Coturnix japonica: one gene and its partner. The protein of the gene in region 2 purifies or fractionates together with the protein of the main gene of each other region. This does not show direct contact. Links are inferred from orthologs where the notes say so. Each region holds a gene or a part of one and is shown on either strand. Other genes may lie near its edges.

The links.
Region 1: the proteins of SNRNP40 (region 2) and SF3B1 purify together in Homo sapiens (co-immunoprecipitation; 3 studies listed by BioGRID and IntAct, with this or other methods). This does not show direct contact. The link is inferred for Coturnix japonica from reciprocal best matches to the Homo sapiens genes SNRNP40 and SF3B1.

What each region holds. Positions count from the first base shown.
Region 1 is NC_029522.1:26,847-31,351, reverse strand, and holds the start of SF3B1 (splicing factor 3B subunit 1), read right to left. Parts: upstream 2,961-4,505; 5' UTR 2,858-2,960; coding exon 2,830-2,857; intron 1-2,829. UniProt on the Homo sapiens protein: Component of the 17S U2 SnRNP complex of the spliceosome, a large ribonucleoprotein complex that removes introns from transcribed pre-mRNAs.
Region 2 is NC_029538.1:606,276-610,536, forward strand, and holds the start of SNRNP40 (U5 small nuclear ribonucleoprotein 40 kDa protein), read right to left. Parts: upstream 3,101-4,261; 5' UTR 3,048-3,100; coding exon 2,814-3,047; intron 2,103-2,813; coding exon 1,973-2,102; intron 1,668-1,972; coding exon 1,574-1,667; intron 558-1,573; coding exon 392-557; intron 75-391; coding exon 1-74. Other genes in the region: ZCCHC17 (nucleolar protein of 40 kDa), read left to right, coding at 3,537-3,578, 3,844-3,901. UniProt on the Homo sapiens protein: Required for pre-mRNA splicing as component of the activated spliceosome. Component of the U5 small nuclear ribonucleoprotein (snRNP) complex and the U4/U6-U5 tri-snRNP complex, building blocks of the spliceosome.

The DNA of each region.
Region 1 (4,505 bases), on a different chromosome or scaffold from region 2:
ACTTCTATCATCACATTCAGCAAACCACCCAGTTTCTAAGTCCATCTCTAATTAACTGAATATAATTATCACATTAAACTATAAAACCACGATGTATACGAAGCAGCTTTTCTTTATGCTGTAATATTATCCAGGACAGACTAATGCAGCTGTATTGTGGTCTGAAGCAAACCATTCAAAACTATTACCATTAACCCATCCGATCTTCCAAAGCGATGGTGGGGAAGGTAATTACAGCACAACAGTATTTTTCAACACTAGATGGTACAGGGCTTTGTCAATTAATGTAATCTTTTCATTAAAAGCAGCTACTGAGATGTTACCATCGATAAATCAGCACAATCAGTTTATTAAAAGAAACCTGTTTAAAGGAGGAAGCGTGTGAGTAGACACATGGGAACGTGCAACAGAAGAACACCTTATTCAAGAATAAAATATCCACTATGCTGCAACACTATATTACGTTTGAACCAACAAAACAGCCTGACAACACAGGCAGAAGTTCAGCCACAGCTCCCATCTCAGGCAGCTCAATGTAACCAGCTTGAGACAACTCCTGCCTCTGCCACCACCTGCGAAGAGACCACTGCTCTGCTGAACTGTTTGCCTATCCATTAATGAGGGCCAACAGGAGCTTTGGCACTCCCAACATATCAGGATCTGACACCCATTACCCCTGGGGTCAGTCACCGACCTCAGCAATTTGGCACCTTTGGCACCGTTTGAGAGAACACTAAGTCAGTAATCCCCAACACCAAGGAATCAAATTTAACCAATCTCCCTCCCATGCACTGGTAAAAGCAACAGGCAAATCAGCTGTGGTCATTCAGTTGCCTTCAATAAACAAGATCAAGACTCAGGCACAACAAGGAAACACATAATTCCACTAAAATAATTGTTTTCATCTGTATTTGCTCTTGTTGGGTGAAAGAATAGCAAGGCTCATGCTTGCAGGGGCTGGACTAGATCTCAAATGCCCTTTCTGACCTCAACAATTCTGTGCTTCCCCCTCCCCATCTGAAGTCCTACTGCCTATGATGTTAATTGGAGGGAAATTCATCCATTTCCAAAAGCTGCATAGAAGTTACACTAGCAAATCACCCAGAAACTCTACCACACGCTCCTGAGCTATTTACTACTGTTGCTCATCTTCTATCTTCTTCAGGACTAATATATCTCACAATACTTTTCCTCAGAGGCAGCTTGCAGAAGATGCCTATGAATACAAATTAAGAAAGTTAAGAATAAAGATAAAATCATCATTAATTCAGCTGCAGGCTGGCCAGAGCTTAATAGCTACGTGGGGCACAGTCACCTCCACACTGAAGGAACCCAGCTACCTGCCCGGAGATTCATGAGAGCTGAAGCCCAACGAAAGCCTTATATTGCTGGCCATCAGCCCCAGCTGAACTCTGCCTGTGCATCCAGCTTCCCAGCACAGGTTCTTCAGGACTGCAGACATTGTGCTCCTAAGTACATTAATAAATAATTAATAAATACCAGAAAGAAACTTCAGAGACATCCCACACGTACTCCATCAACCAACAACTCCTTCAGGCATTTCATTTTTGCACAGTTGTCCCATCACTCGACTGTGAAACCAAAACAACTCCAAGAAGCACTTTGACCCCGCCAGGTTTGTTACGTGTTTCTAGTTTCTTGTCTACTTCAAAGGGCAGATCAAGTTCTTGATTTTGTTTGCAGCTTGCTGCAATGCAGCACTGGGGTGAAACGAAATACCTGAGGCTTCCAGTGCTACTGAAGACACTGGAAGGACACTACACCAAGTGTGTGAATCCAACCAAGTCCTCACAGTGAAAGAAACACTCACATGGTTACAGCATTTAAAAATAACGTGGTGCAAGAAACATGGGACCCAAACTTCCCTTCTTACGTTACAGCCTGGTAAAACATACACTGCATATACTTAGATTGCAGCGAGGGTGTTAAGGGAACGTAGGACTTTAAACCTTGGACCGTAGGATGTTGCTTCCTCAGATCTCCGCATACTTTGAAATTGATCTTACTTATAAGCTGGAGAGCTCTGAGCTGTCCGTCTGCACACAGCCCTTCCTGCCTCAGGAACAAACCCAAGGGATTTAATACAGAAAACAATCTGAAACCGCCTGAAGATCAGGTCTTCCAAGCATTTAAACACATAGTTTACATTAAATCGATCAGCAGTTTCTCATCATACAACAGGGCTACATCTGGACAGAGTTCACTCAAAAACTCCAACCCTTTGTGCCCATATTCCTCCTCCTCTTGTCTCACTGCACCGTTAATAGCAACTAACAGTAACTAACACGGCCTCTCGCAGCTCACCCGCCACACACACACACACACACACACAGGAGGAAAAGCAGGCCAGCAATCGCACAGAGCTAATGCTAACAACTGGCTTTGTTTGCTTCGAGACGCCCACAAGCGATGCCGCCCGGGAAGCCGTGCGGGGAGCAGGGAGAGCCCCCGCCACAGCAGCTCCGCTATGGACCCGCCCAGCGGCGGCACCGAGCACTCTCTACATGGCGCCTCCCGACCAAGGGGGGGCACCTCGGCGGGCGACATCTTGTAGCTGCCGTCGGGATGGCGCCGTTCTATCAATGGCAGCACGGCGCTCCGCACCGCCCGCACAACCCCGCAGCGCCGGGCGGCCCGGCCATGGCGCTCATATGGGCGGCGACGCCATTACGAGCGGGCCCGGCCCGGCCCGGCAGCCATAACCCCGGCACCACTGAGGGCTGCGGACGGAGTATAACGGGATTAGAAGACGCGAAAGGTGCACGCAGCTTAAAAAAGAACCGCCAGGAGCGGATTTCAGCCCTTTACCTTCGTGGGTCTTGGCGATCTTCGCCATTTTGTCCAGCGCCAACAACACCGACACGGAACTGCCGCGGCCCCAGCGCTTCCGCTCGGGGGGGGGGGGAGGAGGGAGGCGAGGCAGTACTGCGCACGCGCAGTTGCGGGCCGCGCCGCGGCTGGCCGAGGGCTGGGGCGTTGCGCAAGCGCAGTGACGGCGGCCAAAAGCGCCACTCGGGCGGCCGGGCGGCCCCGCAGGCCGAGATCGGAGCCACGTCCTCCGTCTGACTGACGTCTCTGCCAGCCAATAGGAATGCGGCGTGGAAGACAAGTGGCCAATAGCGGTGCGGCGAGGCGGAGGGGTGGGGATGTGGCTTGAGCACTGCGTGCTACGGGGCCTCTGCCGCAAGATGGCGGCGGTTTGTACGTTAATGCTGAGCTGCTGTTTGCCTAATGCTCCACATGCACTAATGCTCCATAATGCCTGTGCTCCACATAGAGCGCTGAGAATATAGCCAGGGGTTGATAGTAAACATGTATCCATCGCAGCGTGGAGCCACAGCAGGAGTAAATCCAATCCTAGCACTGCTAATAGCCATGTTATATGCAAAGTCTAGCCCACATGAAGCACCAACACTGACCTGAGATCCAAGTCTGACTTAAAGCCAATGTTTTGTGTTTGAGAACATGAGTTTGATCAGTCAGTCCATCCCTGTGTCTGCATTTGCTTTTTTATCGCTTAGTTTACAGAAGTTTACTGAGCAATTCAGTGCTTGTAATACTTTGCATAACTGCATGTGTTGAAATATACTTGAGATTCATGTGAAAGCACAGAGGATCTGCTCTTTAGTATTATTAAACTCACATCCTGCACTCGTAGGCTATGGAACAGAGATATATACCGAGCTGTTGAGAGACGTGTGAGGATAAGGTCAAGGCAGACACTAATTCCCTACTACAGGAATTTAATGCCTGCAACTATTTTAAGTAACCGTCACATGCTTGGGTTCACCACGAAGATCAATTTGCAGTAACTTTCTCTTGTTTCTTCAGCTTGACTTCCAGCTTGCTTTATATCACATTCCCACTGTTATTAAACAGAACTGAGCTCAAGGGTTGCGATCCTAAGGTACACTTTTAACATGTGGTTTTGGAAGATGCCATTTCCCCTCACAAAAGGAGTCCTGTGTTGTGTGGAAAATGGAAGTTTCTATATGGATTGGAAAGATATTGGTTTTAAGAGCCCAGAAGCTTTCCACATAGTGTCATACCTAAATAACAAGCTGGCATGGTCTTGCTTTAATTAACAGATTCAGGTCCAATGTCATGGCCAGCCCATGCTATCAGTAGCTGGTACCAAAAAGCATTGCCCAGTCACGCCTGTCCTTGATTTACCCATTCAATTGTGCCATTGCCACTGGTTCACTCAAGTAGCCCAATGCTCACAGCTACTGCCTCCTGCTAATCTTCGAAGAACAACTAATTCAATTTTTACAGCCACAAAACTATTAAGAATTGTACGGTGAACTAAGATGAAAAAAGCCACAGATCTGGTCACATCTCCCTGCCTTGGTTTACCCCGGATCTGTGCTATGCTTTGTTTGCCGTCACCTGTTTCCTGACATTTCTGTGTCAGTTAAAGGCAAAAAAATATTGACTCAAAGTAGAAATGTAACAAAAGTGGGTATGTTTCAGCTCCACATACA
Region 2 (4,261 bases):
TTAAAGGTTACAGCCAAGACTTGGTAAGTATTCTGAAATGTCTGGACAGCAGCTTTTTTCCTGATATCCCACAGCTGAAAAGACATTGTGTTGTAAAACTTACATATAGGAAGTTGCACACGTGCTTTCAAAGAATCATAGAATGGCCTGGGTTGCAAAGGCCCACAATGCTCATCTAGTTCCAAGCCCCTGCTATGTGCAGGGTTACCAACCACCAGACAAGGCTGCCCAGAGCCACATCCAGCCTGGCCTTGAATGCCTGCAGGGATGGGGCATCCACAGCCTCCTTGGGCAACTTGTTCCAATCAGGAATTCCCAGATTTTAAAGAAAAATATGAGGGAACAAGGCAATTGAATAAAAGATTTCAGTAACTAATCTCCTTATACTGACCTTCACTGTCCCATCATCACTGCCCGTACAGACAAGCTGAGGTCCTCGCCTTGCTGGGTAGCAGGAATTCACGAACGAGGTATGGCCCTTCAGCCTCTTTACTCTCTCTCCAGTCTCACTGTCCCACACAGCCACAGTCTTGTCTGTGGATGCTGAGAAGAGCATGCTGTGGAGAAGAATCACTGTGAGATTCTCAATGTCAGAAGCTTTTCTCCCACCCTATTTTCTTACTCTCCAGACTTGATGTCAAAGCTTGAAATATTGTCAGCGCGCCACTGAATCAGACATTCATTCTGGTTGAAAAGATCATGTCCTGTAACTTGTCACCTGAAAACTGACATCCTTCTTGCTACAGCCACCTTTCTTGATACAGCTGCTGAGGGAAACTAAATTGTTTTGACTGGAGGAAAGGTGGCTGGCAGGATATCTCACTGCTCTCTACAACTGCCCAGATCCTTTCCCACACGTCACCCTTCCAGCCACTCTCCCTGAGCCTATACCACTGCATGGGGTTGTTGTGATCCAAGTGCAGTACCCAGCACTTAGCTTTGTTGAACGTCACATAACTGGACTCAGACCATCAACTCAGCCTACCCAGATCTATCTGCAACACTCCGGCCCAACTTGGTGTCACCTGCTGGTTTCATGGTGGTGCAGATCTGATGAAGATCTGATAAAGATATTAAATGAAATTGGCCCCAGTACTATTAAGAACTATGCCCAACATGCAAAGACAACTGTGATCTTTCACAGCAGGCTGATTGGCAGCAGAACAAATACAGAGGAGGTGCTTTCACCAAACCCCATTTCTATATAAAATTACAGATAGGATTTCTGACTCTTCAGACACAGTCTGTGATGGGAAGAGAGAAAGAAAAGTCTAGCAACCTCCTGGTACAGATGCATGCGTGTTTTCTTTCCCTTGTTAAGCAACTACAGTTCCTACATCATCAACATGAGCACTCAGATTTCTGAAGACTGAAGCCAAAGGTATTTATATGTCACAAGTGGCTCCAGAGCCAATGCTCAGCTCCTAATCTGGAACAGTAGAAGTGTTTGTTGCAAGGGCTGCTGGCTGGGCTGGGGCAATGAAGAGGTGCTGTGCAGGGCTCTGGCCAGCAGAAAACATCTTCCCTTAGAAACAGTGGGGAATGGGCAGGAATTTACCAGCGTACCCCTTACCTGCCATCCGTGTTATAGTGCAGCTCCATGACCGCCCCGCTGTGTCCCTTCAGGGTGGCGTAGTTATCACAGTCCCCATAGACATTCCATAGCACTAGAGAAACAGCACAGAGGAAAGTGGACAATATAATACATCTAATTCAGGCTGAGAGATCCACAGCCCGGAGAAGGCTGTAGGGGGGTGTGATAGCTGCCTTTCAGTATCTAAAGGGAAGCTATGAGGGGAGGTGTGATAGCAGCCTAAAGGGAAGCTATGAGAAAGAAGGGACAGATGTTCCAGCAGGATCTGCTGTGACTGCACAAAGGAAAGTGGTTTCAAACCAAAAGATGGGAGGTTTTAATGGGATATAAGACAATGATTTTTAAATTAGGGGTGGTGAAGCCTGGCCTGCTACTCACGGATCAGCCTGTCAAAGCCAGCAGACGCCAAGGTGTTTCCTCCAGGGTGGAACTTGCAGCAATACACCTCTCCCTCGTGCCCCGACAGCAACATGATGGGCGCCTGCAGCGAGGAGCAGCGCGGGGGACCCTGCGGGAGAACAAGGGGAGGTGAGGGGGATCCGGAGCAGGGGCACAAGGAGAATCACAGAATGACCCGGGTTGGAAGGGACCTCAAGGATCATGTAGTTCCAACCCCCCTGCCTAGCAGGGCCACCAAACATACACCTTTACTAGATCAGGTTGCCCAGGAGACCCCATAGATCCCCATAGAGACCCCATAGACCCCCCATAGATCAGGTTGCCCATGGCCCCGTCCAACCTGGCCTTGAACACCTCCAAGGACGGGGCATCCACAACCTCCCTGTGCAGCCTGTTCCAGGGCCTAACCACTCTCCTAGTGAAGAACTTCCCCCTAACATCCAACCTAAATCTTCCCTCTTTTAACTTAAAACCATTTCCCCGTGTCCTGCTATTATCAGCCCTTTCCAAGAGTTTACTCCCCTCCTGGGTGTAAGTTCCCTTCAGGTATTGAAAGGCTGCAATGAGGTCACCCCGCAACCTTCTCTTCTCCAGGCTGAACAAACCCAACTCCCTCAGCCTGTCCTCATAGTGGAGGTGCTCCAGCCCCCTGATCATTTTCCTGTTCCTCCTCTGGACCCTTTCCAAAATCTCCATGTCTTTCTTGTACTGAGGGCTCCACACCTGGACACGGTACAACAGATGGGGCCTCACAAGAGCCGAGTAGAGAGGGACAAAAGAGAAGGTCCCCTCCGTTCCCGTCCCCCCTCACAGGCCTCACCGACTGCACCAAAGCACCGGCCGGGGGCTGCCCGCCGCCTCCGCCCCCTCCTCCAGCCGCAGGTGGGTCATGGCGAGGCCGCTTGGCCGCCGAGGGCACGAGCGGGAGATCGGGACCCGGAGCGGGGCCGGGTGCAGCGCCGGGAGCGGGGCCGGGGCCGGGAGCTGGAGCTGGACCCGGTGCGGGGCCTGGCACGGGGCCGCCCGGCGCCTTTCGCTTCTGCTGCTCGATCATCGCCACGGGCCGCGCGCGCCCGCCTGCCCCCCCATTGGCCAACAGCGCGGCCTTCTGCAGAGCTGATTGGACGAGCGCTTCCAGATGTCCCACCCTCCTCTCTTCTTCCTTCCGTCGCATAGAGATGACGTATAAACCGCGCTTGATCGCGGCGCGCTCCTCACACGGATTGGCCGGGCTGAGGCCGGAGAGGTCAAGGGGTGGGCACTAGATAACATGAGTCACTTCGATTGGCTGCGCTTGTCTCCCGCCAGTATCGCGCGCGTTGATTGGCGGGCTGAAGACTCCCCTCAGGTGAGGGCGGTGCGGAGGAGGCCTAATGGCGGCTGTGAGCGTAGAGTGAAGCGAGTTAGAGATGTTTTGTAGCGGGTCCGTCTGATCTCCATATGGTTTTCTTCCTTTAAGGCATCTTTAGGTCTCATGCTGTAGTTGGAGGCGGCTGGCAGATGTCGTAGGCCCCGCAGCGCGTCACCCCCCGGCGCTGAGGCGATGGAGCCGCTGCCTGAGCTGTACGCCATCTTCCAGGGCGAGGTGTGTGCACTGTGTGTATATCACATATATATGTATATATATGTATGTATATATGGCACCGTGTGTATATCGGCCTCTATAGGATGCCTGTCTGCAGAGCACAGCAGCAGCTGGCCCCATATGATATAGTTATATTGGCTCCAACCTGCTGAGGTGCCCGGAGTTGTAGCAAATCACACGAATAATCTGGATGTTGTGTGTGTTCTATAGTGAGAATAAATGTTTAAAGGCTTTCGATTAAATGCTGTGTTGGTTTTCTTCACAGGTGGCTGCTGTGACGGAATATGGGGCGTTTATTAAAATCCCGGGCTGCAGGAAGCAAGGTTTGTTGCTGTGGTTTCATTTGGACTTGGTTACATGTTGGTGTTGAACAGTGAAGCAGGAAACTTAAAGGTAGTTTAGAGAAACAAGTAAAGGAAACTTAAAGGTAACAAGTAAAAGAAACAAGGGGCCTAGGAGAGCAGGGAGGTTGCAGATAAGGAGTGAGACCTCACAGACGACCAGAAGAGGAGTTGCATTCCCCCTGATAAGAACAAGAGGGGGTCTGTATGCTAAAGAGCTATTGAATATGGATCAGAATTCCTAGAACTACTGACTATGTATTAGAAGTTTAAGAAATCATTGAATATGTATCAGAATTCTGAGAAATCATTGACTATGTATTAAATGTACCTATATCTGTG